Linked DNA regions of Drosophila melanogaster. The protein of the gene in region 4 interacts with the protein of the main gene of each other region in a pairwise test. Each region holds a gene or a part of one and is shown on either strand. Other genes may lie near its edges. The genes, in order: SmB, PHDP, CG17568 and cactin.

Evidence for each region.
Region 1: the proteins of cactin (region 4) and SmB interact in a two-hybrid assay, tested with the Drosophila melanogaster proteins (one large-scale study listed by BioGRID).
Region 2: the proteins of cactin (region 4) and PHDP interact in a two-hybrid assay, tested with the Drosophila melanogaster proteins (one large-scale study listed by BioGRID).
Region 3: the proteins of cactin (region 4) and CG17568 interact in a two-hybrid assay, tested with the Drosophila melanogaster proteins (one large-scale study listed by BioGRID).

What each region holds. Positions count from the first base shown.
Region 1 is NT_033779.5:10,422,797-10,430,136, reverse strand, and holds SmB (small ribonucleoprotein particle protein SmB), read left to right. Parts: upstream 1-3,509; 5' UTR 3,510-3,640; coding exon 3,641-3,643; intron 3,644-4,012; coding exon 4,013-4,609; 3' UTR 4,610-4,654; downstream 4,655-7,340. Other genes in the region: Bug22 (basal body up regulated gene 22), read left to right, coding at 1-78; CG5188 (uncharacterized protein), read right to left, coding at 226-422, 478-1,151, 1,207-1,289; KdelR (KDEL receptor), read right to left, coding at 2,328-2,966; Wdfy2 (WD repeat and FYVE domain containing 2), read right to left, coding at 4,865-5,145, 5,207-5,403, 5,467-5,593, 5,654-5,766, 6,039-6,386, 6,457-6,617. UniProt on the Drosophila melanogaster protein: Plays a role in pre-mRNA splicing as a core component of the spliceosomal U1, U2, U4 and U5 small nuclear ribonucleoproteins (snRNPs), the building blocks of the spliceosome. Involved in germline establishment and development.
Region 2 is NT_033778.4:23,879,931-23,887,407, reverse strand, and holds PHDP (putative homeodomain protein), read left to right. Parts: upstream 1-2,967; 5' UTR 2,968-3,095; coding exon 3,096-3,372; intron 3,373-3,467; coding exon 3,468-3,661; intron 3,662-3,929; coding exon 3,930-4,121; 3' UTR 4,122-4,272; downstream 4,273-7,477. Other genes in the region: CG5597 (uncharacterized protein), read right to left, coding at 282-330; CG4882 (uncharacterized protein), read left to right, coding at 5,091-5,293, 5,348-5,687, 5,821-6,498; TM4SF (transmembrane 4 superfamily), read right to left, coding at 6,759-6,977, 7,054-7,254, 7,348-7,477.
Region 3 is NT_033779.5:19,177,020-19,185,167, reverse strand, and holds CG17568 (uncharacterized protein), read left to right. Parts: upstream 1-3,465; 5' UTR 3,466-3,564; coding exon 3,565-3,714; intron 3,715-3,771; coding exon 3,772-5,126; intron 5,127-5,184; coding exon 5,185-5,221; 3' UTR 5,222-5,419; downstream 5,420-8,148. Other genes in the region: gammaTub37C (gamma-Tubulin at 37C), read left to right, coding at 1-535, 595-1,125; CG46059 (uncharacterized protein), read left to right, coding at 1,833-1,976; CG42688 (uncharacterized protein), read left to right, coding at 2,763-2,915; brat (brain tumor), read right to left, coding at 7,645-7,724.
Region 4 is NC_004354.4:20,418,372-20,426,902, forward strand, and holds cactin (cactin), read left to right. Parts: upstream 1-5,697; 5' UTR 5,698-5,782; coding exon 5,783-7,945; 3' UTR 7,946-8,031; downstream 8,032-8,531. Other genes in the region: Obp19c (Odorant-binding protein 19c), read right to left, coding at 1-13, 80-394; Obp19d (Odorant-binding protein 19d), read left to right, coding at 1,767-1,914, 2,045-2,133, 2,206-2,342, 2,407-2,485; Pp4-19C (protein phosphatase 19C), read right to left, coding at 3,494-3,623, 3,688-4,481; CG15456 (uncharacterized protein), read right to left, coding at 8,275-8,531. UniProt on the Drosophila melanogaster protein: Plays a role in pre-mRNA splicing by facilitating excision of a subset of introns. Plays a role during early embryonic development. Involved in the dorsal-ventral embryonic patterning.

The DNA.
Region 1 (7,340 bases), on a different chromosome or scaffold from region 4:
GACGAGCTGCCGCCGGAGTTTAAGCTCTTCCTTCCCATTCAGAAGCCGGTGCAGAAGTCCAATGCGATTTGTAGCTAAATTCTGTATGCATCATCAATCAATTAGAGCACCTAACCAGACGGAGTCGACGATTAAAACGGCACAAAATGCACAAGACTGCCATCCAGCACTCATTCAACACTTTATGGGAATCACGAATAAAAATTGCATCATGTACATAAAATTCTATTGATCTCTTGTAAGTATCTCCGTTCCCGTCTCGGTTATCAGAATGGTGTGCTCGAACTGGGCGCTACGTGCGCCATCCAAACTAATGGCCGTCCAGCCATCTTGCAGCACTGCTATTTCTGCTCCGCCCAGGGACAGAATGGGTTCAATGGTGAAGGTCATGCCGGGCTGCATCTTTCCAGGAATCTCATTATCTACGATGTGCAGTTTGATTAGCAATGGAGGAGTCTCTTAAACAGTCTTACTTACAATAGTGTAGTATCTCCGGGGGGCCGTGGAAATAGCTACCGATTCCATGTCCAATGAAAGCAGCTATCGATGCCAGATCATGTTCGTCGCAATATCTGTCTATGAACTTTCCAATCTCATTGAATTCCACACCGGGGCCGCACAGCGAAATGCACTGATCCAAACAGGATTTAGTGGCCTCCACGAGAAAGCCACCCCGTTCGTCCACGTTGCCCACCCGAAATGTTTCCGAACAGTCGCCATGGTAGCCGTTCAAAAAGACTGTGACATCAATATTTATAATATCCCCATCGGCCAACTGCCGGTCATCCGGAATTCCGTGACAGGCGATATTGTTGATCGACGTGCAAATGGACTTTGGGAAGCCGGCGTATCTCAGCGGCGACGGATACGCTTTGGACTCGAGAATTCTTTCATGCGCAAAGGCATCAATCTGATCGGTGGTTGTGCCAACTGTTGCTAGTTTACCGCATTCGCGCAGTATCCTGGCCGCCAGTCTGCCGCTTAGACGCATGGCATCAATCTGAACCTGGCTTTTGATTTCGGGCGATCCCAGCGTGTTACCCGGTGGCATATTCTTGAAGTAGTACGCCGGTTTCTTGATCTCCTCGGGCACAAAACGTTCCGGGGAAACTTGGCCGGTGGACACGATCTGTTCATATTTGCCAGTATCTCTGTAAGTATACCCATCAGAATAGAGTCCTGAAAGAGATAAGCCGGAGCCCATACCCCTTAACTTTGCCGAACTGAAACAAGTTTCTGGCAGTCGTTTTCTGGCGCATTAAACTATTTAAAAGACCAATTCTTCTCATTTTGTTTTGATTATGACATTTTTGCAGTGTGGCAGTGCTGTAAATATTTTTACAGATAACAGCCGAGTGTTAGGGGTATTCCCCCTTTTTTGATAACGGCACAGTGCTTCAAGTTTTTGGAAACTAAACAATTTATAGAGATGTAATATATATTTATACATCCTTACTAACTCTTTGCATTGTAATCTAATAAATAAAAGAAAATCGAGTTGTTTATTGTACTTTGTTTATAATATAATATCTGCAAAAGTGTTTAAAATATTATTTATGCCACATTAGGTTCGTATTTGTTTCGTACATGATCTCCATATAAATTAAATTTTCCATTTGCATCTGGCATGACTGCGAAGCGTGCAAGGGGAAACGAGGGTGTTGCAGAAATTTAATATATCTTTTCGGAATTCAATAGAAGTTGTGCAAAACAGCACATGGAGTTCCTACGATCCTGCGGCCTATTTTTCAGAATATTATGTGTATTATATGTTGACATCGCTCATCATTTACTTTACTATTAGCCACACAATAAGACTTAACTTTACTCGGATTTTTAGGATACAGTCGACTTAAGAGCTATTTAATGCATAACTTTAAATTCTTAATTAAACAAAGAAATCTATGACCTCTTCTGTGATACTATTGCGAATCAGATAAGCCTCCGCGCAAAAGAGAAAACATTTGTTTCGATTTTGTCAATTAACGTTATCTCTTACTGGAGTAATGATTTTTTTTTTTAATATTTTTGGATTCTAAAATTTGTGAGTGCAGTTCGGAAAACGGAGATTAATACATTTGTTACATTTTCAATGTACGATGTCGGTATTGCATAGTTTATAGTGTACTTTCGATTTTCGGTTTATTTCTCATTAAATAATTACAACTTAGGCGCTCCCCTCGATTATGTATCTTTTGTATAATATGAACGAAATACGCGTTGTCAAACGGGCCGTGGATCGCTCGCTTGTTTACTCTGACGTCGATTGATGATGTGTGCCGACAAAACACAAATGTCCCACATCTATGCACTTATCCATCATCCGCTTATGCCGGCAGCTGGAGCTTCTTGCCCTTAAGAACTTTGGTAATGTATAAGTAGAAGAAGTCGCAGTACAAGACGGTCTGGACAACTCCGGCGAAGATCGCGATAAGGTCGTAGTGCGACTCGACCATGTACCGGTAGACCCAGTTGAGCAAGTAGAGTGCACGGTACGATCCCAGGGCGAAGAGGTAGTGGCTGGTGATGGACTCGGCCTCGCCGGTTCTGCTCACTAGGAACAGCTGCGGCAGAATGGCCACCGATTCCAAATAGATCGAGAATGTCCACAGCACTTCCATCACGGTAAACTCATGATTGATCACCAGCGAGAGCAGGGCGCACGGCACCAGCAGGAATTCGATGCGGAACGAATCGTGATTGTGGTCATAGGTGGCCTTAAACTTCACGTACATCAAATACACGGTGGCACCGGACGTGGCCAGGAACAACACCTTCATCACCGAGTTGTACAGGCTCACGTAGGTGGTGAACAGATCCAGGTAGCGCGTCAGATAGACCACGGCGAACAGGATCTGCGACTTGCCCGATATTCCGGCGCACGAGCGGGTCTTCCATATCTTCAGCAGCAGTATTATGATGGCAAACACATGCGACAGATCCCCAGCAAAGCGAAAGATATTCATCGTGATCTAATCCGCCGACTTGGCTACTTGGCTGCCCGGTTGGCTGTTTGATTGTTCTACTTCCTTTCGCTGCGGCTGCGTCACGGAACGCACGCCTATATGAAAATGGGAGTGTATACTATAGCAATAATGGCGGCATTCAGTGTTTCAACAGCTGCATACGTTACCAAAATGACTTTTCGCCTAATTTGCCAACGAGTAGAGATGTGAGGGCTTTGCCGCTTCGGAAAAAAACTTGTCAGAATGTCGGCATAAACAATGACGTGGCTGATGAATAAGAATAAGTTTGATAACATGGCCACTGCCTATCGATATCGATAAGTGCCGCCACATGATTTTTTTAATGAAAATTCGACCATCTCTAACGAAAAAAATTGAGAAAAAACATACTGATTCAAATTTTTTCTTTTTTCGTTTTTTATCATAAGATTTAAAAAAAATTTAATTTTTTTCTCTTCTTTTGCTAGGGATAGTCGAATGTTTGTTTAAAAAATCATGTGGATTATCAATAAAAAATTTATATTCGATAGGCTCGATTGAAAGACACCAGAAAATGCTGACCGCCGCACACGCCACTCGATTTATTCTTCATGCCTATCGAAAAAAGCCGTGGTGAGGTTCCGGCATCTGTATTTTATTTACAAGCGATAGAATTAACATAGAAATCAAATAAAATGGTAAGTAAAAACACTGTTTTAAGCATCTGACTGCAATGGTTAAGTTTTGTTTAGTTGTATTAATTCATAGATTCTTACTTTCGCGGTTGCGATTTCGTATTTACATAGGCATACATACATACAAACATGCATGCGAATAAATAAAACAATTTGTTTTGGCTAATTAACTATTTTATATTTGTTTAAAATTATGATTTTTAGTGATCTTCGATATTACGCTGAGATTTGCTATTTCAAACTCTGTGGTTTATTAAAATTTTTATAAATACCGGCTTTTTTAAAGGGTCGAAATGGTTTACAAAAGATGGCGCGACTTTTATGCATGCTATTGTATTTCACAATTAAATCCTTTGAATTCCTTTATTTCAGACGATCGGCAAGAACAACAAAATGATTCAGCACCTGAATTATCGGGTGCGAATCGTGCTGCAGGACTCGCGTACCTTCATCGGTACCTTCAAAGCCTTCGACAAACACATGAACTTGATCCTCGGCGACTGCGAGGAGTTCCGGAAGATTCGCTCGAAGAATTCCAAGGTGCCCGAGCGCGAGGAGAAGCGCGTGCTGGGCTTTGTATTGCTGCGCGGCGAGAACATAGTTTCACTGACGGTGGAGGGACCACCGCCGCCAGAGGAGGGCCTGCCCCGAGTTCCCATTCCGGGAGCAGCTCCTGGTCCGGGAATCGGTCGCGTGGCCGGACGCGGAATGCCTATCAACTTGTCCGCCGTGCCAGCGGGTCTCCAGGGTCCCGTGAGAGGTGTGGGCGGACCCGCCCAACAGCACATGGCTCCGATGGGACGAGGAGTGCCACGAGCACCGATGATGGGTGCACCGCCACCGGGCATGATTCCCGGCGGCATGCCCTCGATGCCAGGAAACATGGGACGCGGTGCTCCGCCACCGATGCGCGGACCGCCGCCCAGCATGATCCGTGGAGCACCACCACCGGGCAGGGGTGGCTATTAAGTATAAAGTACAATCTAATAAAAACTCATTTAGAAAACACCACTTAATCGATGGATTCGTGTATTTATGTGTTGAATGTAAGCATACGTACATACAATGATTATTGCTTTACATCAATTATATGAGAACCTAAGCAGCAGGGACTGGATTTGGTCGTTGCCAGCCACATCGTTCGTTAATTGGGTGTTCCAGTTAAGACCGAAACGCCTCGTGAATGATTATACCTTTGGTACGTGCGTGTGCGTACAGGATGTTTTATGCCCAGATGTTGGAGAGATCCCAGATCTTGATGAGCCTGTCCTGGCCCACTGTCAACAGGCGCTTTCTGTCCTCGTCCAGGTCCATGTAGACGATCGAATGCTTGGCGTCATTGAATGAAGCCAGCGAGGGGCGCTCGACTGTCTGAAGTTGTTTGTAGCACGGATCACAGGTACGCACATCAAACTCGAAGCCCATTATGGGTATGTTAATGCGATTGGTGGAACAGTTGTCGCACACGGCTTTGCCGCAGTGGCGACAATGATGCTGTCGTATTCCTGACAGTCAGAAATTACTTGTAAAACAAAGAGTAACTCAAGTGTAAGCTATTTATCTCACCCAGCTGCTTTTGATCCATCATTGAGCGGAAGTTCCAGAAGAAGGGCCTGGAGCAAAGCTGACAGTTGTTGGTATCCACCCAGCCAGGAACCTCTTTCCGCATTGCATTCATTTCCCAAAAAACCACTACTGAATCTTCGCCACAGCTTATCAGTTGTTGCGTGTGATTCGCGTACGACAGGGCGGAAACTTTGTTGCTACATAATCAGAAGTGCCGATTACTATCTTATTTTATGAATATTATTTAAGATTGGAGATACCTATGTCCCTGCAGCTCGTAAATGGTGCCACGTTTGCCACCAACATCCCAAACTAGCACGGACTGATCGCAAGCTCCGCTAAACAAGAGCTGAGGGCCTTCCACCCATTTGAGGCACCGGATTTCCGCTAAAAATTAACCAATTCGTATATAATTAGCTTACTAAATATCATTTGTAACTTGTTTACCCGAATGTCCATTGAAAGTGGTAATTAGTTGCACTCCCTGAACATCGCACCTTAGCATTGTTATCTGTCCAGCATGATCGCCCACAAAGGCATACTTGGCCAAAGCGTCGAACCTAAACGCAGATTATAATTAATTATATGTTGCTTATAGAATATTTCGCACAGTGCACACATTTATGCCAAAATTTTGTGTAGATAAAATGACTCAGTTGACACGTCATTAACAATAGAAGGTTCTCAAATTCTAAATGAATTCCATAGCCGTGAAGAATTGCAGTTTATTGCCGTGTCAAAGAAAGCAGTTTAATCCAATTAAATGACCCGCTTATCCCATATCCACTGTCGCACCCCCTTCCCCCTTTCACCATCCATTTATCATACTTACTGGAGAGCCGTGCATGGTGTCTCAAAGTTGTATCCGCCCACCCGTTTGCCGCTCTCCGTGCAATGATAGGCGAACTGCTTATCTTTGCCGGCGGAGAGTATCCACTTGTGGGTTTTCGAGAAGACCACGGCCATGACCCGCGCTTGATGGGACAAGTAATCCCGCAGGAAGGACAGGCGATTGCAGTCTTCGGATAGCGCGTACTGGGTGACCGTTCCGTTTTCCTGGCCGACGTACAGGTGCCGGGATTCCGAAACGTACTCGATGGCCGTGCAGCCGGAAGGCATATACTGGCAAATGCTAGGCCAATATTGACCAGAATCGCGTTTTAGCCAAACGCGAACGGTTCTATTGGGGAAAACATGAAAATGTCAGGCATACCATTTGTGTATATTTTTAATGGGCTACAGCTACGCACTTGTCATCGGAAACGCTAATTACGCCGTTTTCGCCCGGAATTAGGATCGCTGCGTTCACATCGTCGCTGCTGCCCTCCAGCTTACTCAGCAATTCCGGCTTTTTGGAGGTGTTAAAGCGATCATTGTTGGTCCGCTGAGCTGGTTTTATCTCGGCAGCCATATTATTTAAGGTGGATCCAGTCCGATGGTACGCCTACGCCCTATTTAACGCACTCGATGATAATGCGGTTATAAACAATCCGATTCTCGGACTGGGGAAGGTGAATGGAGATACGTGATTCACAATCAATTAACAAAACTGTGTTATTTTGTTTAACATTAAATATACTGAACTTTGTTGTTGGAAAGCTCGTCTAGATAGCGACGCCAAGTTTAGGAATGCTGCGGAATAGTGGAATCGATGAAATGAAAATAGAATCTTAATTGTTAGATATAGTTTTTGCGTATTATTGTATATTATTTTGCTATTAAAAATACTGAAGGTATTTCGTGTGATGTGTCGCAGCATTATGTATGCATATGCACGCACCACATTTTATAAACATACAAACGAGCATTTGAATCTTGAATCTCAGAAATCGCTTTATAAATGTATAGTCTTATGATTTTCATAATGGCATATCATATCTAATAAAACCTACGGACCACGCACAGTTATGTTTCCGGTTATCATGCTATTTAATTATTAATCACAAAATATTTGTTTATATTGTGTTAAGTTTTTAATACGTTAAAATTTATTATTACACATAAATAAATAATTTTATTATAAGTAGGGTTAACGCAAAATATAGCTAGTTAAGCAGATTAGATCATTGTGAGTGTTGCTCAGTGGAAACAGAGCTTTTCCAAAAATGTGCTTGGTGGAATTGAAGTATAATAA
Region 2 (7,477 bases), on a different chromosome or scaffold from region 4:
TCAGCCCGTTCAAATCCACAAATTAAAGGATAATCGAATCTGCACATATTGTTTATATATTGTTTATATATTGTTTATATTCCGTTTTAGCACATGTTAACTCAGAACCGAATGTGGATATACGTTCGTATTTATAGATATCCGATTTGTCATTATTTTTCTCAAGGTTTGCGCATTCGAAATTCGTTTATATGCGCCTTCCGAATGATTTCATTTCTTAATTTAAAAATCGCGTTTCCCATATCGGTTGCTGGCTGGATCGCCACAGGATCTGGCTGTACCTCTGTGGAGCAGTCCGATGGCCAGAATGGCGATCAGCAGGGTATCCATAACGGTCACTATCCTATCTACACTTCCACTTCCACTCGTATGCCAGACTTCTCAACCGATCCTAACTCAGCGGTCCGCTCGGCATGGTACAACTAAGGCAACTAAATGCTCTTGGCCGCCAGAGAACCGAAAACTGAAAACCGAGAAATGAGGAACGAGAGCTCTTGGCCAAGACCACGCAGCGTAACCAAACGAATTCGAATTTAGCCGAGATAATGCCGGCACTTCCTCTCCGGCACACGATCCTCCTACCCTAACCCTCCTCCTCCTCGCATAGCCCGTGCCACTTGACTTGTGCGCGACTCTCGGAGCACAAGCACGATCTTTGCATGGACATGTGGGGAGATCGCTCCGCAGCTGGCCAGGCACCACCACCAACCAAGTCGCCCTGCATGTGTGGGGGTTGGACACAACCTTTCCGCTTCGATACTCTCCGCTGCTCCTAGCTGCCGTTGACTATTTGAAAACCAGTTGGCCGCCCAGCTGAGGCGCACTCCTACAACTAGGGATAGTCGAGGGTAACATGCAAGACCGTTAAAGGACAGGGGGTGTCGAGCGTAGTCCTTAAGGACCTTTTCTTCTTCTCGACCGAAGTTAAGGGCTGTTGTAACGATTGGCGTTAATAATATGCTGTCTCCATGGCAATAGGGATCATTAACATTCCTGTAATTCTGTTGAAATTCCGATAGAAGGCATTTTTAAGTCGAATTTCTCGAATTTGTTTACAATTGAATAAATCTTAGGGTATTAGCCGTTCAGTTACTCATAGGTTTAAGTATATCCATATGCTTGAGTTTTTGTAAAGACTTAGTTAGTCGTTCCAACTCGGTGATTAGCAAAAGAAAAAGCCTTCACTATACCAAGTTAGTGTGTAAGTGCAACACACACCTATGCATGATAAACCCTTTTTCTTTACTTTATGTTTTCCAAACTAACGTTAGTTGTTTTCAGAATGACTCAATAGAACCTGATACTTGTTCGATGCATGTAGTTCCAGGCTCATTTGCACCCACAACTAGGTTGAAACCTACTTAAACTAGCTTCCCATTTAGATGCTCTATAACTAAATAATATGTTGCTGTTTTTACAGGATTTTCGGGGTGGGTTTGAGATCGGGTTAAGCAAACAATGCAGGTGGGTTTCGTTCAGGTCGATCACCTCCAACATCTGGTTACTATACTATTTATTAAATGTAAAATGAGTTCATATCTTTGCGTTTGATACAATTACAATTGGAAAGGTTATAATTTTACACATATATTGGATATATTTTAACCTAAAATGTAACACAGTAACTTATTCCAAAACTTTCGGAATGTCGTAATGTTGTATTATTATGATTGCCATAACAATTCTCCGATTTACATAGACTTGCGATTTAAGTAATGATTACTACAAAGTAGAGTTTCTTTTTGCACGAGTGTTAGTTTGAGCATGATGTGCATCTATTAGGTGGCTTTGTTTTCCTAGAGACTTAGTCGTTCCAATTCGTTGATTAAGAAAAGAAAAGGCTCACTCTACCATGCAAATGTGTAAAATCCACAAAGGCAACTAAGACCATTTTTCAACTGGAAAAAGAGGCACATTCTAAACTTTTACCTCGTATGTTTGACTAAACTGATCCCAATGAAATTGTTTCCGAAGATAGATACATTGAATTTGGAACTGTTTTTCTTTGAAAATTTAACTAAATGGCTTCAGCACATGGAACAACCAGCCTATCCTATTAGCAATCCAGCATTAGGGTGTCCAAAAAAAAAAGGACTTCAGCGCAGAGTAAATAAAAATTAGGCAGGACTCTGATTAGCAGGAATTAACTAATCGAAATAATCCGCAGAGCAAATAATTGTTTCCGAAAACAGGGGTTGTATCCTGCCAGTGACTTTAAACAATGTTTCAATCAGCCCAATGTTATAAACAAGAAAAGATAGTAAGGTGTCTCTTATCCATTGTGTGCGGTACAACACCATTTGTTTTATCAAGTTGGCGAAGTGCTGTACTCGTGATGACGGACTGTCCGATACCCTTTCCATTTCATATATGAAGTTTAAATATATTTTATAATTTATGTTACTTTGGCTGTTCCTTAAGAGTTATTGCAACGTAAAGAGGATTTTCATTTTTCTTACTTTTTATATTATCCCAGAGAAGCATTTCCTTTAATCGCTCAGACAGGACATCCCAGCGTCATGGTTGCCCGATAAGCCAATTTAATCTTCTGAGTGTTGCTTTTTGAGGCCTGTGAAAATTGGTGCACTCAAAGAAAAGTTCGCTTAAAGATGGAGCTTGGAAAATATTCAGATTTTGAAGAAATATTCATTGAAAAGAAGATTTCTGAGTGAAGATTAGATCAGAGCCAACAGACAGCGATGCAATCAATGAAATTAAAACCAAAACCAATTCTTTAGACATGCTGTGACAAGTCAATTGGGGAAATGCGGTGAATTTTCGCGCAGTGCACGACACGCGCCGGAAAGTCAGATTTCCACCCCTATGTCGAGTGGAGCTCGTTAGGACCGCCTCCAAACGCGGAAACGAATGAAATTTTCCGTCCCGCTCTCCCGAGACAAGTGCAGCATCCTTGTTCGTCCAACGTGGATGTCCTGTAGTTGATACAATCGTAATCGAAGCTTATTTATTCAAGGGCAGTTAAAAGTGTGTGCGGCCGCGGAGCTACTATAACTATGTGTTTTATGGCCGAATGACTCATTAGCGGGCTGTAAAATTTCAATCGAGTGCCGTGTGTGAATTTACCTGCAGATGCGATGGAATTTTCACTGCTCAACAAGGCGAACTTCGACAAGGATTGTTTGTACACCGCGAACTCGGAGTTCTACAACAGCGGCGCCAATGGAGGAGGACTCTCCGTGGCCAATCACATAAATCACTACAACCTCATGATTGACTCCAGTTACAAGCTCTGCGCCAACGAGTCCGCAATCCGGGGTTCCCTCAACCAGGAGTCGAGCTTATTGTTCTCCAAAATCACCACTGTCTCCGAGTTTTACCCGGCCACCCATAACATTGGCTCCTACAACACGGGTAAGTACAGTGGCCATCAGTTCCACCTGCAGCCAGTGCACCTGGATGGATCGATTATGGATTGTAATCTTGAACCAACTCTCACCTCGCCATAGACTTCCATTTGAAGTCCTATGGAGACGACGGCTTGAGCCTGACCGACAAATCAAAACAGAGGCGCATTCGCACCACTTTCACGTCCAACCAGCTGAACGAGCTGGAGAAGATCTTCCTGGAAACCCACTACCCAGATATCTACACCAGGGAAGAGATCGCATCCAAGCTGCACTTGACGGAAGCTCGAGTTCAGGTGAGGAAAACTAATGAGATTGAATTGCTGGTTAAGTGAGTGGGTAGTTTAGGATACACATATTTCAATAATTAACATATAACAAATAATACTTACATAATATAATATAACTATTGAAAAGAACTCGATCTGCTGTTGATAGGTTCAAATATTATAGGTTTCTCGAAGCCAGCTTACAATCGAAACGAATTTAGTCATATCCTGTTGAAGGATACAAAACGACTTAGTAATCGAAATTAAAAAAAAAAAAAACCATTGTGTGTTTTAGGTCTGGTTCCAGAACAGAAGAGCCAAGTTTCGCAAGCAGGAGAGGCATGCCATTTACATAATGAAGGACAAGTCGAGCAAATTGGATGGCCGGAAGAATCCTGTAGCAGGATCGAAATACCTGGGCCCATCTCTCAAGGGACCCCAGAATGGCCATGGCCGTCAAATGAAATGCTTATACGATCAAATATAGAATCCACTAATATCTATGTAAATATTAGTATACATTTTGATGAATGCAGTTATTTTGATATTATTTTTACTGACTATTTGGAGCGAATTGCGTTAAATAAATAAGATCTGTGTAACACTTTGCTTGTTTTCATATCATCCGGGACAACTGGCTTAGCACCCTTTTGAGGGCTCAGCCGGCTAAGCCTGTGGGAAGAAAAACAAGGACTTGAATGGGGGTTGAAGGGTCACCATCTACAAGTACCAAACCTCACGCCCTTCAGGGGTAAATTGTCATCCCATTATCGGGTGGAAAAAGTGGATTGGATCGGCATTAGGGCGTGTAATCAGTTGATGGTGGCGATTCGGTGCGCTCAATATAGCAATTGTTGTGGAGTGCCCACCGCAGGGATTGGCGGTGAATACCTTTCAGATCTAATTAACAAGATCAAGATTGAATTGCAGTTTATTGAAATCATATGTGCCCAGATGTATAACTTAATATTGCAATTTATAAGTAGTGCCCGCCTTTCAACACCCTCGAATGATTTTAATAAACTGTGAAATCGTTGTTCATTTTACATTTTTCTACACTTCATTAGTGAAACGTATATACAGATATTAAATATATACATAAATATACAAATATCATTTAGCCTTTTAACTATATATAAAACGTACTCTTCCGTTTTTTAAATAGTTTTGTTGCAATTTGATTTGATTATTTTATGTGTTTTTTCATTTAGAATAAAAGAATTCAAATTAATTATTTTATTCAAATATTCCAAGGACATTTTCAATTCCATCGTTCCCGGAAAAAGCAACATATTATAAGTCGAAATACCCTCAATGCTTTCGAATACGAAAATACCGCTATCTGCGGTATTAACTGGCGAACGCGCTAGGGATTTTGTTGCTCTTTTGGCCAGCTGCATGTTATTTGTTAATCGGCTGGTTATAACACTTTATGAATTAAAAAAGACAATTGACAATGCTGCGATCGAGGATTTCCTGCGCACTGCCACCCAGGAGACTGGTGTCCTACTTCTCGGCGGAATTCAACAAGGTGGCGCACGAGGGACCGGCTAAATTCGCCGCAGGCAGCAGTCATGCCGTAACGAGTGTGGATTTGGATGTGTTCGTCAATCCGGATAACCGTCCCATGGACCTGGTGGACCGGCTGCTCAAGCTCAGGTGGGTGCGGCCATATTGGAAGTAGTGTCCCTACTCATAAGATAACTCTTGCAGGAAACAGAAGGAGGCCAGTTTGGTGCCGCTGATTCCCAGTGTCTTGGTCAAGCAATTGCTGGACTCCACCAATCCGCAGGAGACGATATCGGTGCTCCGTAATCCCATCCAGTACGGGCTCTTTGTGGACCAGTTCTCTGGCTGCTTCCTGTTGGACTTCCTGCTGCACAATGGCCACGCGGTGGAATCTGCCCAGCTGGCCACTATTCTCGTGGACAGAAACTTATGCAACAACGAGTTGCTGGAGTCCCTGGCCCTACAGTCCTTCTGGTCCTTCGCCAAGGAGTTCAAGCCCTTCGAGTCCTCTCAAGTTCAACCTCCTGCCAAAAATGTTGAAGTGGTAAGATGATTTTCGATAGTGGCTGAATTATCAGCTAAGCGGCTGGAAACTTTATTCACTCATAAATAGCTATTTAAGATTTTGTTCATTTTGGCATTTTACCAAGTTTACTAATCATACCTGAATTTGCTAGGAAAAAGTTCGCGTGAAGTTCATTCGCAATTACCCCGACGACGCCAGCGAAAATACCGAAGAGAAGAAACTGGGTCGCGCCATGGTTCGATTGGGCTCCGGCGAAGGGTCCTTGAAAGAGCTGAAGCAGAACGTTGCCCTACTTGGCTATGTCCTAACCGGACAAGTGCCCGAGGCCTCCAGCTTTCTGGCCTCGAACTCAGCTGCCCTGCACAAGGAGACTCTTTTAGCCGCACAGAGCATAGTTGAAAGCCTCAAGCTGGAGGGATCCGAAGAGCTGCTGAAGTCCCTGCAGGAAGCCGTTGAGAAGAGTAGCAAATCGAATGCCATTCAATCGCTACTGGAGAACAGCGTCAAAGCCAATGTGCAGAAGTTTGAGCCCAAACTGCTGGCCGACTACGGCGAGTCGTATCAGGAGTGGGCCAAGAAGTTTGAGGCAGCGGTGCAGCGACAACTGGATTCGCAGAGCGTGGAGGAGCGTAAGGCCACCATCCAGAAGACCCTCAGCGAACTGGAGGCGAAGCGGCAGAACCTGTGGTTCTTCGAGAACCGGGACGACATCGACATCCAGATCTACAAGAAGAAGGTCTACTATCCCAAGCGCTGGTTCGGCAAAAAGAAGAAGCCCAAGGCAGCAGACACCTTCTATGTGCCGCCGACTATCACGCACAACGGCTAGTGGACAACCCGTGGACCCACGACAACTCCTGGCCACAAACAAGTTAGATCCAATTGTTTTTAAGCTTTAATTAAACTACTGGAGAGTTAATCCAAATTCAAATGTTGTTTCTTTTCTCGAACGTTAAATTGTTTAAAATTACCATAACGTAACATTGAGGGTCACAGTTATATTCATTCCATCTCAGTTTACAACATTTTTTTTATACTTTTTCTTTGGAGTTTCCATAAATTTTTGCATCCTTAAAAGCTAATCGTCTGTCATTTGTGCATGGCCGAGGGCAGAGCAGTTTTTAAAACCCGCTGCCCGGGTGCTGAAGGGGATAGATTGATGGGCGAGGGCATGTCGTGCCTCTTGTCCTGTATGGTCAGGGGCAAGAACTGCTGCTGCTTCTTTTTCCGGTTCATGTTCATGGGATGGGTGTTGTCGTTCTTGCCGAACAGAATGGTCAGGTGGACAGCACAGAAGATTCCCAGGCTCTGTGCGAATTGGTTTTCAATTTATTATTGGTCAACTAACTGAGAGTTGAGAGAGAATCCATTGGGGGGGACTCACCTGGAATATGGCTATGATGGCAGCTCCGAAGGCGGTGATCAGCAGGCGGTTCCTGATCTGCTCCGATACGACGGCCAGGCATCCGCGCTTGTAGTGGGTATCACATGCTGACTCGTAGGCGTGCTCCGGGCGCGAGCAGCAGGACCAGGGCAGCGAAAGTCGGCGGTAATCGAGAGGTCCGTCGACGCCGCAGCATTGCAACTAATGGGTAGGGAACGGGGATGAATTGGAACGCCATCTCTACGTTAGGATACCCCAAAACCACTAGATTTACATAGCCCGCTCTTGGCTCACCTGCGACTGCATCCTATTCCACAGATGTAGGTTATCCACCTTGGTGCGCGAAAACTTGTCTAAGAACTCGACAAAGGAGTCGTCGATGAAGATCTCCACGGAAGTGGGCAGGTTCTCCCTCATGGCCAGC
Region 3 (8,148 bases), on a different chromosome or scaffold from region 4:
CTGGGCGTCCGGCTTTAGCCAGGGTGAGAAGGTGCAGGAGGAGGTGTTCGACATTCTGGACCGCGAGGCCGATGGCAGCGATTCGCTGGAGGGATTCGTGCTCTGCCACTCGATAGCCGGCGGAACTGGGTCCGGAATGGGCTCATATGTCCTGGAACGGCTGTCCGAACGCTTTCCCAAGAAGCTCATACAGACGTACAGCGTTTTTCCCAATCAGGACGAGATCAGCGACGTGGTTGTGCAGCCATATAACTCGATCCTTACCCTGAAGCGTTTGACCAAGTGCGCGGACAGTGTGGTGGTGCTGGATAATACCGCACTGAACCGCATCGCCACCGAAAGATTGCACATCCAAACGCCCACTTTTACGCAGATCAACAATCTGGTGTCCACCATCATGAGTCTGAGCACCACCACCCTGCGATATCCCTCGTACATGAACAACAACCTCATCGGTCTGACCGCCTCGCTCATTCCCACGCCCCAGCTGCACTTCCTGATGACGGGATATACTCCGCTAATGTCCGACTGCGAGGTATGATGATATGACATATGTAAATGGGAATGCAAATAAAAAGAGGCAACCACTTTCAGACCAAGACAAGCGTTCGAAAGACCACCGTTTTGGATGTAATGCGTCGCCTTCTGCAGCCGAAGAACATGATGGTTTCCGCGCTGACGGACAAGCAGAGCCGCCAGTGCTTCGTCTCCATACTGAACATCATCCAGGGCGAGGTGGATCCATCCCAGGTGCACAAGTCGCTGCAGCGCATCCGCGAGCGAAAGCTGGCCAACTTCATACCATGGGGTCCGGCCAGCATCCAAGTGGCTCTGCCGCGCAGCTCGCCCTATGTGCAGTCGGCCCACAAGGTATCCGGATTGATGATGGCCAATCACACGGGTATCAGTTCGCTCTTCAAGAGGGCCTTGGCCCAGTACGATAAGCTGAGGAAGCGCAACGCCTTCCTCGACAACTTTCGCCGCGAATCCATGTTCCAGGACGACCTGACCGAACTGGACATCGCACGGGACACGGTTGACTGCTTGGTGCAGGAATATGAGGCAGCCACCCAGATCGATTATCCCCAGTGGAGTCCTGCTGTCGAAGCTTCGAAAGCCGGTTAATCGATAATTATTTATAATTCAACCGTCAATACTTTTTATTTTTTTTATCAACAATAATATATGTATTTAAAATACTTTATAATCAATTTAGGAATTATAAAAGTTTCCAGGAATGATTCAACTTACATAAATCAAGCAAAAATAACTCTGAACGAGGTAGGAAGTAGTAACGATCACACCTCAACACACAAAAGTTCTGATATCAACTTTTGTGTGAAAAAAAGGGTTTTTTATTCAACTAAGGATATACAATAACTAAAATTTACTTATTCGTTAGTTAGTTTAAAGTTGGTCAACACAATCACTAATTCCACATCCACATGTATCTTGATATGTGTACATTTTTATAGTCATATTGGCTTTGATTTTTCATGTCACTTCACATTTCCCCGTAACAGACTGAGCGAAATGAATTTTCCATTCGTATTCCAAAATTCGATGTGTTAACACCTTTGAAAATAGTTTGTGTCTTACGTTTTCCGGTACCTATTTTGTTGTTTCTAAGATCCTATTTCTGTAAATAGGCCAAATGTAAGTGTTTAGTTCACATTGCATAGAGAACAATCTAATTTGGTTTAAAGTCCACTTAGCTGCCCTTTTAGAAGGAAATTAGGATACCCTGAACGCTTTTCCCCAAGACAAAATAAAATCGTAAGTGAAAACAATTTATATGATTAATTCTTAGCTTTCCTTTCACTTGGAAGATCATGTGCTGCGGACCCTGTGGACCTCGCTGCTGCGATCCGTGCGGCGGATGCTACAACTGCTGCGTGGAACTCTGCTGTGTACCCTGCACCCCAGCCTACATCCAGTGCTCATTTATGCCCTGCGGACCAAGAGGCTGTTGCTGAAGTGGGGATGTGCCAGGTGCCGAAACACGTTCAACCATATTGTACCTGAAACACTCGTAGATACCCAACATGTCCCAATAAACGAATTTTATAAATGTTAATAGATTGTGTCAAAGATGAATTCTATATTTCGACGCCGTGCTTTAGCGTACTCAAGGTGAAACCTGCTTGATTTGGAGACGAGTCCGATCTCGAAATTTATATTTTCGTGGGGAAAAAATGGAGATTCAAATGCGAGCAAAGTCGTTTGCAATTTGAGAATGGTTTGATCTTATGATCTGCCGACAACTTCGTGTCGCCTTCGCACATCCTCCCAGTGCGCTTCGTCACTACGTTGGCTGCCGTCAACAGACACTATACAAATTCGGTGTTTTAAATTAAGCCAGTGGTTTCCTTGACTGTCATAACTTCTAGAGATATTCAAAGAGACAAATTAACAGCCAATCAATCTAGTAGTCTTTGAATTGGATATCTGTCAACAGTTTTGGAGATGCCAAATGTCGAGAAGGGATCACATTCATTCTTTCCCCCAGCCTCGGTTTGAACACATCTAAAGTAACACAGGAACAGGAATCCCAATGACCAACACCTTTTGGAAATAAATTTCTTGTCGTGGTCAGTCTAAATATATTTTAAATAAAATTCATCTAAGTCTCAATTTAAACACATTTTCCAGACAATATTCTCGTTTCGGTTCTCGAGTGAGTGCGTATCCGTGATCCTTGTTTACTTTGTGGATTCTCTCCATCCATTGACTTCCACCCAAATATCCTAATCCTATCCAAGATGTGCTGCAATCCTGGAGGCTGCTGCAACCTGCCCTCCTGCATCCAGTGCACCAACTTTTGTTTCAACTGCTGGACGGGAACTGCTGCAGTGCCATGTTGCCGAGGTAGTTGCATTCCGGGATGCAGTAGCAGCCCTGGATGCCGTTGCTGATTATCACCAAAATTATTACACAAGTCTACAACTAAAAACTGAAATAAACTAACAGATACCCCAAACGAACAAATTGTAATCTTAAATTCTGTATTCATTTAGTGGTCAAACATCGACGAGAAGGCTAAATGTAGAACATTCATTTATAGGGCCATTTAGTCAAGATCACGGACACGAGACGCTTACAGGAGATGCGAGAGGAATGACTCTTACTCCACCTAACGGAGGATATGCCTTGTTACCCCGCAGCCATTGTATCCTAACGAGGGATAAGTAGCACGCAGGAATAAAATTCAATTCATACCAGTTTTAAGATTATTCAATATTTGAAGCCCAACTATATCACAACATAGTTCATATGGGCACAATCTACTAGAATGGGTTGAGTTTGTTCTTCATTTGCTAGTACATTACAATAATAATTAAGTTGAAATCGACGGTCTGCAGGAATGGGTCTTATTGGGTGTTGTGTTTAACATAAGGGTTAAACGAAAATGCCGTTAAGAATTTGCCATGGTTTGATTGCGACAACTTGTATCTGGTCACACTGCCCCGAAAAAGAATCAAATCTGGACTAAAAGTAAACAATTAAACTGCTAATTCTCGGCGATAAGGTGTTCCCATAAGACCACTTGGTTCCATTGCCAAGATGACGGACGGCAGCCACTGGTTGAACTGGTGTCGCCTGTGCGCCAAGGACGACGCCCACGGCAATGTGAAGGTGCAAATGAATGAGAATTCTCAGGGAAACTGGGACAATGTCCTGATAATGGCCATTCGCAAGTACTTCGAAGTGCAAGTAAGTGATATGAAACATATGCTTCAGTAACTGTTATGTGAAATATTTTTTCGCCAGATGCAACTGGAGGACGAGCTAAGCAGCGTGCTGTGTACGGAGTGCTATACGCTTATTAGCGAACTAATCGATTTTGCAGAGCATGTGACCAAAGTGCAAGACATCTTTGAGGTCCTGCGGCGAACAGAAACAGATGGGGACCAGGAAATGGACGTGGCTGCACTGCGTCAGCAGTTTGGACTGTGCGATGACGACTGGACGCACATTATAAAGCCAATTCCTGCTCTTGAAATGGAGTCCGATAATGTTTATCAAAAACCCGCCGAACTATTAAAGGACTTTCCTTTGGCGGAGACAAGCAGCCAAGAAATGGAAATATCGAAAAGGACAACAACAACCCACTTAATTCAAACCAAAAAGAACGTAGAAATGGAGATACCCAAGCAAGAATTCATCGACTTAGGTCCCATTCTGTTGGAAAAGAACACAAGTCAACTGGACATGGAGGATGTGCTAGACGAACTGCCTCAGGAGGAACTATCGCAACCGCGCCTCGACAGCACAACCTCTCCGGCCTCAATGGAGAATGATGTCAAATCAGAAATGCTTGACAGCTGTGAAGGAGACGACGATTTCCTGCCCGTAGATGGCCAGCTAATGGATCTCGTCGCTGTGGCAACCACGCCAAATACTCTGGAATCAACTGCCGAGGAGAAGGCCAAACGGGGTCGAATGGACTGCGAGAAATGTGGCAAGGTCTACAGAAACCGCGCTTCATACGAGAAACACTTGGAACGCGAGTGCCGCCGGATCGAGCGGCGTGTGAAAGTGGACAAAACAACAACAACCTGTGATATTTGCAACAAAACGCTATCCTCCGCCACAGCGCTGAAGCTCCACAAAGAGGGCATACACCAGAATGTCAAGCCATATATCTGCGATAGTTGCGGCAAGCAACTGAAGACAATAACAGCACTAAATGAACACAAGCTGGTTCACACGGAAAGCCGTCCCTTCGAGTGCACCGTCTGCAAGGCGGGCTTTAAGAATCGGGCTCGGCTGAAGGCCCACTACCAAATCCATGCGGAGCCCAGTTTCGTGTGCAACATTTGCGGCAAGAAGCTGCAAACGCGTCGCACCTGGAACATGCACAAGGTCGTGCACACCGAGGAGCGGCGCCTGAAGTGTGATGTCTGCGGCGCTCTCTTCAAGCGCTCAAAGACTCTCAAGACCCACTTGCTGAGCCACACGGGGCTGCGACCGTACGTTTGCAACTACTGTGGCAAGTCCTTTGCCTGTAATGCCAATTGCCGGTCGCACAAGCTCAAGAAACATCCGCAGGAAGTTCAGCAGGAGGATGGAGCACGGTTGCCCTCTCGCCTCAATGTTCCAACGTTGGATGAACTTCGCGTTATGTGAGTTGTAGTAAAGAAAATCTAGTTTATTCGATTTATTTAAATGCTTTATTTTCAGGACTCAAAAGTTACCAAAAGGAACAACAGAAAACTAGTTTTAGCATGATTATAATCATAATATATTTTACCTTTAAGCTGGCATCAGATAGGAATGTGCAATCTCAAATTTTACAAACAAAGATCTAAATATATTAAGTAAGAAAGTCATTTAAGTCATTTATGCTTGCCAAGTAGCAAAAACTTGCCAAAACTCACTGATCGAATAATAAAACGCATTCGAGTTATTTAAAAACAAAATAATTTTATTGTTGTTTAATGGAAATAGAAATTCTTACAATACAATTGTTGTTGCTGGTTGTTCTTGTTGGTTGGTTTAATATTAATGTTACACAACATTTTTTAAATGTTAATTAATACCGTATTTTAATATAATAATAATTTCATTTTTTTTTTTTCATTTTTTAATTACTTCGAAAATTGTGGCCCCTAAGCATTAAAAAGACTTTTATTTCCTTCTCATATTATATTTCAAAAATTCTCGCTGACGCTGTCGACTTTGCCATTGGATTGGATTTGCCATTTTGAGCACAGTTTAAAATCTGTTGTCATATCAAATTCAAATAGGTATTCCCGAACTCGCCACTCTAGCTAGCAAATTTCAGCTTTTAATAAATTATTATGATTTCTTCTCTGTTTTTACGTTTTCCACATGTATAAAAATATTCATATATAATTTACCGTAAGTACCTTTTGTTTCTCTTACACATTACATTAATGAGTTTTTATCTTGGGTTTGCCTTAATGTTTTATATATATAGGTTTATATATAAAATGCGCATACAGTTGGAATCTTAGTTAGTAATAATAGTTAATGAGTTAATAACGTTCACATTCAATTACATCGTATTCAATTAAGTACGATTATGATTACATTTTAATTTTCTTCTTGACGAGTTTAAATGTAATTCAAAGAAAAAAAAAACAGTTGGTTGTGCTCAAAAATGTTGAAGATTCAAGTTAAATGCCTTTCCGGTTTCGTTTTGTCAAAAAAGTGGCTTGGTTTACTGGTTTAGATTACATTTAATTGTGCTGGATTTGTGGGAAAGATGGATTAGTGAATGACTGGATGATTGAGTGAGTGAGTGAGTGAGTGATTGAGTGACTGACTGATTGAGTGACTGACTGATCGAGTGAGTATCATGCAGGGTATCTGAGGAGCCGAGCTGAGCTGATCCTGGCAGTAAGTTAAGTCAGTTACAAACTTAAACCGAATGGTAATTGCTCTGTACTGTGGTTAAATCTTTGTATGCATGTTAGAAACAGTATATGGCATATAGTATGCATTTGGTGGGCGTGTATATATTTCCTTTTCCTTTCCTTTTATTTTATTTTCCTTTTTTTCATTTCAACGCAAAAAGTTAACAATTTCCCCGTTCGAAACAGCTGAGAATGGCCTGCCTGACAAAGTCTACGTGTAATATAGATTTTCTTTATATTTATATAAGTATTGAATAAAAATGCCAACCCTCTCAATGATATACATTATTTGCTTGTCAGTCCATATTTTCCACATTTTCTTGTCATTTGCTTTAACATTTTTTTTTTGTCTTTGATTTTCTTTTTTTTTTTTATTTGTATTTATCTTAAGTGTAAAACAAAATTTGAGCGAAATATACGATTTGTAACTGAACGTACAGTGTAAACAATTAACCATAAAGAAAACATATTACTTTTATTACTTTAGCTGATAAAATGTCTTAGTTTCATATGACAACGTAGTATATGAAAGCCATTTAAGCAACACCCTGTATACAGTATTCACTCGTTTTTTTCCTTTTTTTGTGTACGTTAAAATTCAACTTGGCTTTAGCGAGAAATTCAAATTGCGGGGAGACATAAAAATCAATCCTTACACGGAAAATTGGTAATTGGTAAATCGTTAGCTAAACATAATATATATGTATGTATACAAAGAAAACTTAATTATAACGACATTTAACATTAGATTGGTGTTCCTTTTCATTTTCTGTTTCATTTTGGTTTTGGTTTTTGTTTTTGTTTTTTTTTTTATTTAATATTAATAATAATTAATTATAAAAATACATATATGTATGCATGATGACTAGATGATGATACCATGATCGGCTTAGTTGCACTATATAGCGTTATAAATATTAAAATCTATGCTGAATGATCGATTATGATTAAGATGAGCTAACATTTATGCATATTTCAATGATTTAGCAACGTTGATTCTTGTCTGTGTGAATTCTTTGTGTGCGGTTCGACCGTAGAGACTCATTTACACTAATTGCAAATACATTAATATTTATATAATTTTTGAGTCCCGAAATTGATTTAAAATAATTGCGTAACGTAAACTTGTCCATGCATCGCCATTACATTACATTCCTTCTTACATCCTCTTCTTCAACAACAAATTCATTAACATAACACAATTGTATGGGGAATGTTTGGTGATTGATTAATAATATTTCGTTTCTTTCGCTTTTCTATTTCAAATGAAATGTTGCTGTATTCTGTCTGCCAAGAAGCTCTTGCTGGTTTCATTGATGTTGCTGTGCAATTTGTGCAATACTGCAAGAAATGAAATTAAAAATTAAATAAATCAAATGTTTTCATGTGAAAAATATGAATCTTACATTGGATGGAGGGATAAGTGCAAAAAAATAATATTTTTTAAAGATAAAAGGTTACCAAACGCAGTACCATATTAAAACAATAAGTACTTCTACAAAAAAAAAGTGTGATAAAAAAATGGTTTTTTTAAGCTTCCTATTTAGTTATTGCATTAAACATTGCCCATTTGGTTCTGATTTAAAGTTAGATAAACTTGTTCTTAAAATGATCGGCTTACAAATTATTCTCATGTTTTCTTTGCGTATTTTTAGAGTTTTTAATATGTCGTTTTTCGTTAAAAATTACAAAAATGCTTGGGATATGAATTTGTTTTTGTTTTTAGTTTTTATTTTTCATAATCTTCAATAGGAAGAATAAGCAG
Region 4 (8,531 bases):
TGTCGGCGTCCATCTGGGTGCGAATGAGAAGTATTAGTGACCTTTTAGTTCTGGTTGTGACAAACGTCCGGCTACTCACCAACTTGATCTTCTTGAGCACGCACTCCACCAGGCACTTCTCCTTCTCACTTGGATTGGTCACCTTCCCCAGCGGTCGCTGGTCCCTGGGCAGCTGCAGCTTCTGGATGCACTCCATCCTGGCCGCGGTGACCAGCTCCTGCACCTGCGGCAAGTTGCGATCGATTACCGCCCAGATGGGCTCCGTTCCGGTCTTGGGCAGCAGCTTGGCGAGATCGAAAGCCTGGGTCTGGCCACGGACGCAGTGCGTCTGCAGCAGGACAGCGACCACTATCGTCATTAGCGGAATGGCTGCGACTGGAGTGGATGGCTTCATCTTGGCAGCTGCTTTCTCTTTGGCTCTGCTCTTGCTTGGCCCCTTGGCTTATAAGCTGACCCATGACCTCACACCATAGTCGTCTGCACATGGCATCGTCGCTTGATTTTGCTGATTGCAAGCATTTCTCCAGTGCCAAGTTCATCACCCAAGTTCGTCACCCGCACAAGTCACGCTCCAAAGACGATATTTGACATCGCCAACGCTATCCAGCGATGTGTCAGTTCACTCGAGACAATGACAATATCGGATTAATGTAGATCTTCAATCTGGAAACCTGATAGGTCTATCAAAGTACCAAGGTTTGTAAGGTATATTCATTTTTGGAATAATACATTTGAAAATATCAATGTTAATTAAAATGAAAGTAAGCCATTTGCTCGCAACCGAATTATTTAGATATATACATATATTATCAATCGGACTTATTTGTTGGATGATTTACCATGTACATATATGTATAATACTCGATCACACAGACTTCCGACCTGTTAAAGATCTTAATGGGGCTAGTAAGCCCCACTCAATCCAATTGGAATAAAAATTAGCATGCAACATGCTCACACGATGCAATCCGATTCCATCTATTGGATTCCACAATAATATAGATTGCGTGCTAAAATCTCCACTCGATGGATGGACAAACAGACTGACTGGATGGAACTCAGATAGCGATCGTTGGCACTCGGAATGATCAGAAAGTCGGCAGGCTGACGGGCAAACTGGGAAATAGGCGGACAGATGAAGGGTATATTATGGCCTAAACGGCCAATTTGGCAGGCGGCAACCGCAGTTCCCAGTTCGCCCAGTTCCATATAATTGTATAATCGCTCGATGGCCCCGCCAGTCACAATCACTCATCTCACCCAGAGCTGTTGATCGATTTAATTACAAGCGGGATTTCTCATCTCTCATTTTGCATTTAGCATTTTGCATTTTCATTTCCATTTCCACTAGCCATAGCCATTCCCAATTCTATATCCCCGGCATTTGCAGCGATTTCATGCCAGTCACCAATTAAGCAGGTAAGTGGAGATCGGTGGGCCATCTCATCTGGCAGCGGCAGTTCCAGCGGGGTGTCACTCGTTCACACGATGCCCAGTCGAGGGCATCTCCGCCGGATTCCGTCCCATCCCGTCCAGAGCGGCGGAGTGAAGTGGAGTGCCATGTGCCATGTGCTGCCCATGTAGTTCATAATTGCGCGTAATTGCCGGAGCTGCTTGAGACGCAGCTGGAGATCGGCGATGGATCCGATCTGCCAAATCAATCACGGGACTCGGCTTAGGCAATAGCTCCTATAAAACGCCGACGTTGCCGGCGATTCGCATCCAAGTCAGAGTTCGCACGTCGCGCAGTTCAATCGCAAATCGAAATGTCGCATCTGGTTCACCTGACCGTCCTGCTCCTAGTGGGCATCCTCTGCCTGGGCGCCACCAGCGCCAAGCCGCACGAGGAGATCAACAGGGACCACGCCGCCGAGCTGGCCAACGAGTGCAAGGCTGAGACGGGAGCCACCGATGGTGAGTCAGATGGTCATCAGTGCAGAAAATTCAGTAGGGAATACAGCTGTCAGCGTACCACTCCTACCTGTGGTGGATGTGTTAGGATAGTTATTGTGCAATTATCAATCATATGATATATCGCTTACAGAGGATGTGGAGCAGCTGATGAGCCACGACCTGCCCGAGAGACACGAGGCCAAGTGCCTGCGCGCCTGCGTGATGAAAAAGCTGCAGATAGTGAGTGCTGCTGCTCCGGCAGGAAGTGTGATCCACTCACCACCACCCATTCCATTCTCCCTCCCATTGCAGATGGATGAATCCGGTAAGCTGAACAAGGAACACGCCATCGAGTTGGTCAAGGTCATGAGCAAGCACGATGCAGAGAAGGAAGACGCTCCCGCCGAGGTGGTGGCCAAGTGCGAGGCCATCGAGACACCCGAGGATCAGTGAGTAGTGCTCGCCGGAAGCTGTTGGCTCAAATCCGGACTATAATCATGCTGCCATTTTCAGTTGCGACGCTGCCTTCGCCTACGAGGAATGCATTTACGAGCAAATGAAGGAGCATGGACTCGAGCTGGAGGAGCACTGAGAACAGATTTGAGACCCATGACGACCCCCCGTTACTGTATCACAAGCGCCCTTCTGGAATATAACCATCTTTTTTTTTTATGTGTATACTATGAATTAAGTACTTGATAAACTGAGAAACTGCAGGCTTGATTGTTTGTTGGATTGTGAAGGGGGATTCGTATGGGTGTGGTTATCCTCCAAGACTCCTCGGGACCCATAATTTACTAATAAAAAATTCTTGCTCAATTTCGACGATTATATTACAATCTTTATTATTATAAATACAAGTACATTTTTTTGTATATCATCTCCCAATCTGGGGCATATTTAAAAGATTCTTACTCACTATTTATTAATGCACGATGTTCTTCGTACCTGGGTTTCTCCAGGTGATATCCTGCGGAGAAGGGACCCAGCCAGGGATGCGCGTTCGCTCTCGGCTCCCCTAAATATGTCCTAGCTTAGCCGACTTAACGCAATCTGTCGGTAAAAATATCTATTTGCTCAACTTGGGCTCCTAGTATAGTATGCTGCCCAAGCCCAGGGAATTCGTGTCGAGAAGACGGCGGCTCCGATTGCGGTCCGTCTACGCAAGGCGAATTCTCAGGGTCTTGGGCTATGGTCATTAAACCTATTAGTTAGTAGCTAGATGAGGTGCACAGGTCATACGCGATCTGCATGGCTGATCTCTACATGTTTTGAAAACAGCCATTAAAAGATCGCGCAAATAGCCTGATTAAACACAGGTAGAGGTAAACAGATGGTAAAAAAAATTTAAATATCTTAGTTGAACCAAAAAAGCAAATAAGTCTAACTGAACGTGGACCTGTGTCCGGCAGCTCTACCCTAGCTTACGTTTATGTTACATATTTTTTGTTTTACACCATCAGTTGCTATTCGCGTTCGCTTCGCTTTTGCAGGCTGGCAGTTTCTATTTCTATTCCCTAGATGATTTATGTAAGCTACCAGTCGGCACCCGCATCCTGTGCCGACTCCGTTCCACCGGATTGTCAGGAACGGAAGCGTCTTAGAGAAAGTAGTCCGCCTGAGGCTTCTTCGAGGGAATGCCGCGACTCTCTTGCGGAGCTGCCTCAAAGATGACGAAGTCGCGGTGCAGGTACTCATTCAGCTCCAGGATGGCAGCTACATTGCCGCAGCTGCATGTGGAGAGATTCCAGAGTTAACAACACAAGTTCGAAATTGCACAGGAGGCTGACTCACCGATAGCAGTAATTGGGTGCCGACCAGACGGTCAGGACGGTTTCGTTGAAGTGCCACTTGAAGCCCTCCATTACCAACTGGTGTGCACGGCAAATCATGTCGATATCGTTCGTGCGGTTGAACTGGGAGACCACGTCCGAGCCAAAGAGATAGCCAGCGCCGCGCGGCGACACGCCCCAGCCAGTCTGGTCCTCCGGATCGCTCCAAAGCAGGTCGCACATGGGCCCGTCGTGCGGCACCTCCTGCTTCCGGTCGATGCTGCGAATCTGGTCGAGGTACTGGATGGACGGCGACAGCCCGCCGTGCACGCAGAATATTTTGCCGTCGATGATCGCCGAAAGGCTGAGGTAGTCAAAGATCTCCGTGCAGTACCGCCACACGGCCGTCGATCCGTACTTGCGCAGGCACTCATCGTAAAAGCCGTAGACCTGTGTGATTTGGCGCGACTCATGGTTGCCCCGGATCAGCGTGATTCGGTCCGGATAGCGCACCTTCAGCGCCAACAGCAGCAGAAACGTCTCCACACTATAGTAGCCGCGGTCCACGAAATCGCCCATAAACAGGTAGTTCTTCTCGGGCACATCGCCGCCAACCTTGAACAGCTCCTTCAGGTCGTAGAACTGACCGTGGATGTCGCCGCACACGGTCACTGGCGAGTCCACACGCTGCACGTTGCCCTCCTCCACCAGGATCTCGCGGGCTTTGGCGCACAGGGCCTTCACCTCGTTCTCCTTGATGATCTCGCAGCGCTTCAGTTGCTCGATCTGTCGGTCCAGGTCGCTGTAGTCGGACATCTTCACCCGGAGGATGGCGGCAGCCGAGGCGACGGGGAAGCGGTGAATCGGACTGCAGGCGTTGACAGGGCGGGGACAGCGTTGTTAGTCGTTCACCAAACTGGCGCGGGTGGTTTTCAGGTAGCCACAAGGTTGCATAAGAGAAATACTATAAATTTTTGGTCGCTTGAGTGATAGGATAGGGTACTACTCTAGTCGTGCACAGCAAGTCTAGCGTTTTAGAGGCCATAAAGTGCATCTGTATAGCTGCATCCCCCACATCTAAGAATCAAGACGATTCAACTATATTTACGGATTGGGCAAATAATATAAACACACACATTCGCGTTCCCAGCTATTCCACTTGTTGAGATAGTCCATGAGGCTATTTCGCAATGAAAAGCCAACCAACGAGAAAAGAGGCTATATTCTCGATATAACTTCTTTTAGCTGTTTTAGATGGCTGTGTTTTAAGTGAATGCATACACATTTCTTTCAAATACGAAACGTGTATTTGACAGTGGATAGGGTTGGATTTGTTTTAAATCCAGAATTTCTGGATTAGAGATTAGTTCAGATTTTCAGTTGCTGCTGAACTGGAAGTAAGGTAACTAATAGTCGACTAATAACCATCCTTTTGTTTGTGTTTCGGTTTTTGAGTTCGCCTGCATGCGTCTGTGTGCGTCGGCTTTGTGCGGATGCTCGCGTGTGTGTGTGCGTCTGGCTTGTCGCTGGCCTTTTTGCCGCGCGCGATTTTCACCGTCTGCCGTGTTTTTCCTGTCTTCCCCGACACTTTTCCAGAATCACTACTTACTCAGCGCAGTGGCGGGCTATCTGGACAATCCTTTTGCTGGTAGCTCGGCTCTCGTGTTGGCGATTGAATACAAAAAATGCACATAAACGTTTTTGCCAACCGGGTTTCTGCGAAGAGCTGGATTGGCTACTTGCGTTTGTATCGATATATTGAGTAATGGCACTTGCAATGACACATCGAGTCTTCAGTTTCGATAGTGGGCATTACCACGAAGACCCTAAAAAGCCTTTTACACTGCACCAAGGATTCCATCGATAAATTATTTATTTTTGTGTATTTATAATACGCTGCAGCCGAAATTTTAAAATTTAAAGTTTGTAAAAACTAACCCTTGGAAAAATAAATCGACTTATCGGCAAGAGGGAGATGTGTTAATGTTATAATGCTTATATCGATAGCACTTTTGCAATTATTAGTGGCTATCTGGGTTGGTTTTCTCCATCTGGCAACGCTAGCATTGTTTATATTTTATTTCACAAGTTTTATCCCGAAAAACTCATTAAAAAAGATGCCCAAGGAGAAATCCAAGCACCGGCATCGCAGCCGCAGTCGGGAGAGGCGGGATCATCGCAGTCCGGATCCGAGGAGCAGCAGGAACAGGGATCGGGATCGTGAACGCGAGCGGGAAAAGGATCGTGACCACAGAGATCACAGAGACAAGGAACGTGACCAGCGCAGGGAAAGGGAAAAGGACAAAAGCAGGGACAAGAAGCGGGAGCACAAAAGCCGGAGACGCCGGTCCTCTTCCTCCAGCTCATCCCCGTCGAGTTCGACGTCCAGCTCGGTGCCCGGTGCCCCTCGTTCGCCGCTGGTAAAAAGCCCGATGAAGCTTCTCCAGACGCTGGAAGCCCGTCGCCTCGTCGAGCAGAAGGATCGTCAGCGTAAAAAGGAGGAGCTGAAGGCCCATGAAACGCCCGAGGAGAAGCGCGCCCGTCGCCTGCGCGAAAAGCAGGCCAAGGAGCAGCGGCGTCGCGAACGAATGGGCTGGGACAACGAGTACCAGACGTACTCCAACGAAGACAACCCGTTCGGGGACTCCAATCTCACCTCCACCTTCCACTGGGGCAAAAAGCTGGAGGTAGAGGGACTATCAAATCTCTCCACCAAAACCGTAGAGGTACTGTCTCTGCAAAAGCAGTTGGAAAATCGCAGGGAGCTGGAGAAGGTCAAGAAACGGCGTCAGGAGAGGGAGCTGGAGCGGCAGGTGCGCGAGGATGATCTTATGATGCAGCAGCGCGCCAAGGAGGCGGTGCAGTTCCGCGAGTGGCAGCGACAGGAAGATCAGTTTCACTTAGAGCAGGCACGCTTGCGCAGTGAAATCCGGATCCGAGATGGACGTGCCAAGCCCATCGATCTTCTCGCCCAATATGTGGCCGCTGGGAATGAGCCGCTCGAAGAGTGCCTCGAGATGCAGATGCACGAGCCCTATGTGCTGCTAAACGGCCTGCCCGTGGAAGAACTGGAGGACCTGCTGGTCGACATTAAGGTATACGAAGAGCTGGAGCAGGGCAAGCACATCGATTTCTGGAACGATATGATCACCATTGTGCAGGATGAACTGCAGCGCCAACAGAAACTGGAGGCGGAGAATAGTTCGCTCAATCAACGCCGGGATGGCATCCACCAGGCGGTGGTAAAGGATGTGGCCGATATTTTTAGGGGGAAGAATGCTCAGCAGCTGGAGGAGATGCGGCACCGCATCGAGGCCAAGATCAGTGGGCGAGCGGATGGCGTCGACATTAGCTACTGGGAAAGCCTGCTCTCGCAACTCAAGGCACACATGGCCAGAGCTCGACTGCGAGATCGCCATCAAGCCTTATTGCGCGAGAAGCTGTCGCTGCTCAAGCGAGAAAACGATAATGAGACGTTGCAAGAGAAGGTGGCCCCACAAGTCAAGGAAGAGGAGATGGAAACCCAGGACGCAGAGGACCCGGAGGTTGAGGAGGGCTCACCCGAAGACGAGGAGGATCCCCTGAATGAGCTGCGTAAAACAGTGCGTCTTTACCAGGCAGGGAACTACAGCCCGCGCTATATACGCGAAGAGGACTTCACCGGCAGACGAGCGCAAAACGAAGACGTCGACGAACCGGAGGCAGAAGGACTTCTCTACGAGGAGGAGGACGACGAGCGGCGAACACAGAGACAGCGTCTGCTAATCCTTCATCCAGAACGAGTGGATAACAATCAACTGACCCCGCAGGAACTGCGAATGCGCAACGAGGCGAAGCAGGGAATGCAGGGTGACGAGGCCGAGTTCAGTGTGGAGACCACCCTGGATGCAGTGCCGCAGCTGGCCACCGATAAGTACCGACCACGAAAGCCGCGCTACTTCAATCGCGTGCACACCGGCTTCGAGTGGAACAAGTACAACCAGACGCACTACGACATGGACAATCCCCCGCCCAAGATCGTGCAGGGATACAAGTTCAACATATTCTATCCGGACCTTATGGACAAATCGCAGACGCCGCAGTACTTCCTCACTCCCTGCGCGGACAACGGGGACTTTGCGGTGCTGCGTTTCCACACAGGACCACCGTACGAGGACATCGCCTTCAAGATCGTCAACCGGGAGTGGGAGTTTAGCTACAAGCGGGGCTTCCGCTGCCAGTTCCACAACAACATCTTCCAGCTGTGGTTCCACTTCAAGCGCTATCGCTACAGGCGGTGAAGGATTGTCACCGTCTGGCCTAGATTACCCAAACCATCCTTTTGTGCAGTCCTATGTTATTTTCCAATAAAGTGTAAGCCCAGAACAACTAGCAAACTCGTTCCATTTATTGCGATTGTTTAGTTGACTCCACTTAAACTGAAAACTGTTGTTTAACCTTTACCCATTTTTCAATTCATCCATCTTGCAAATAAGGAGAGCATTATAATGTTATATTTATTATTATATATGTATATACCATATATCACAGGATTTCAAATGGGTTCCACAAATGTTGGTGTAAGCGTGAAGCTATCGTGTTTAAACAGTCTAGGCGTGAAAGTAGGAGATCACATCACGACGCAGTCCTTGATGGGCTGCTCCAGGACTTTCTCCACGGGCTCTCCACGCTCCGCCTTCTGCACTTGGGCCAGGACACTCGCGTGCTGGGGAAATGCCAGGCAGGAAAGCTTCGAGTGCACTAGCTGACCGTCGATGGACACCTCGAAGGATCCCCGCCGTCCCGTGCGACAGGATATGTCCAAGTCGGGCGACGAGGCCAGCAGGAACTCGCGCAGCAGGTGGCACTGCCCGCTAAAGTTGCAGA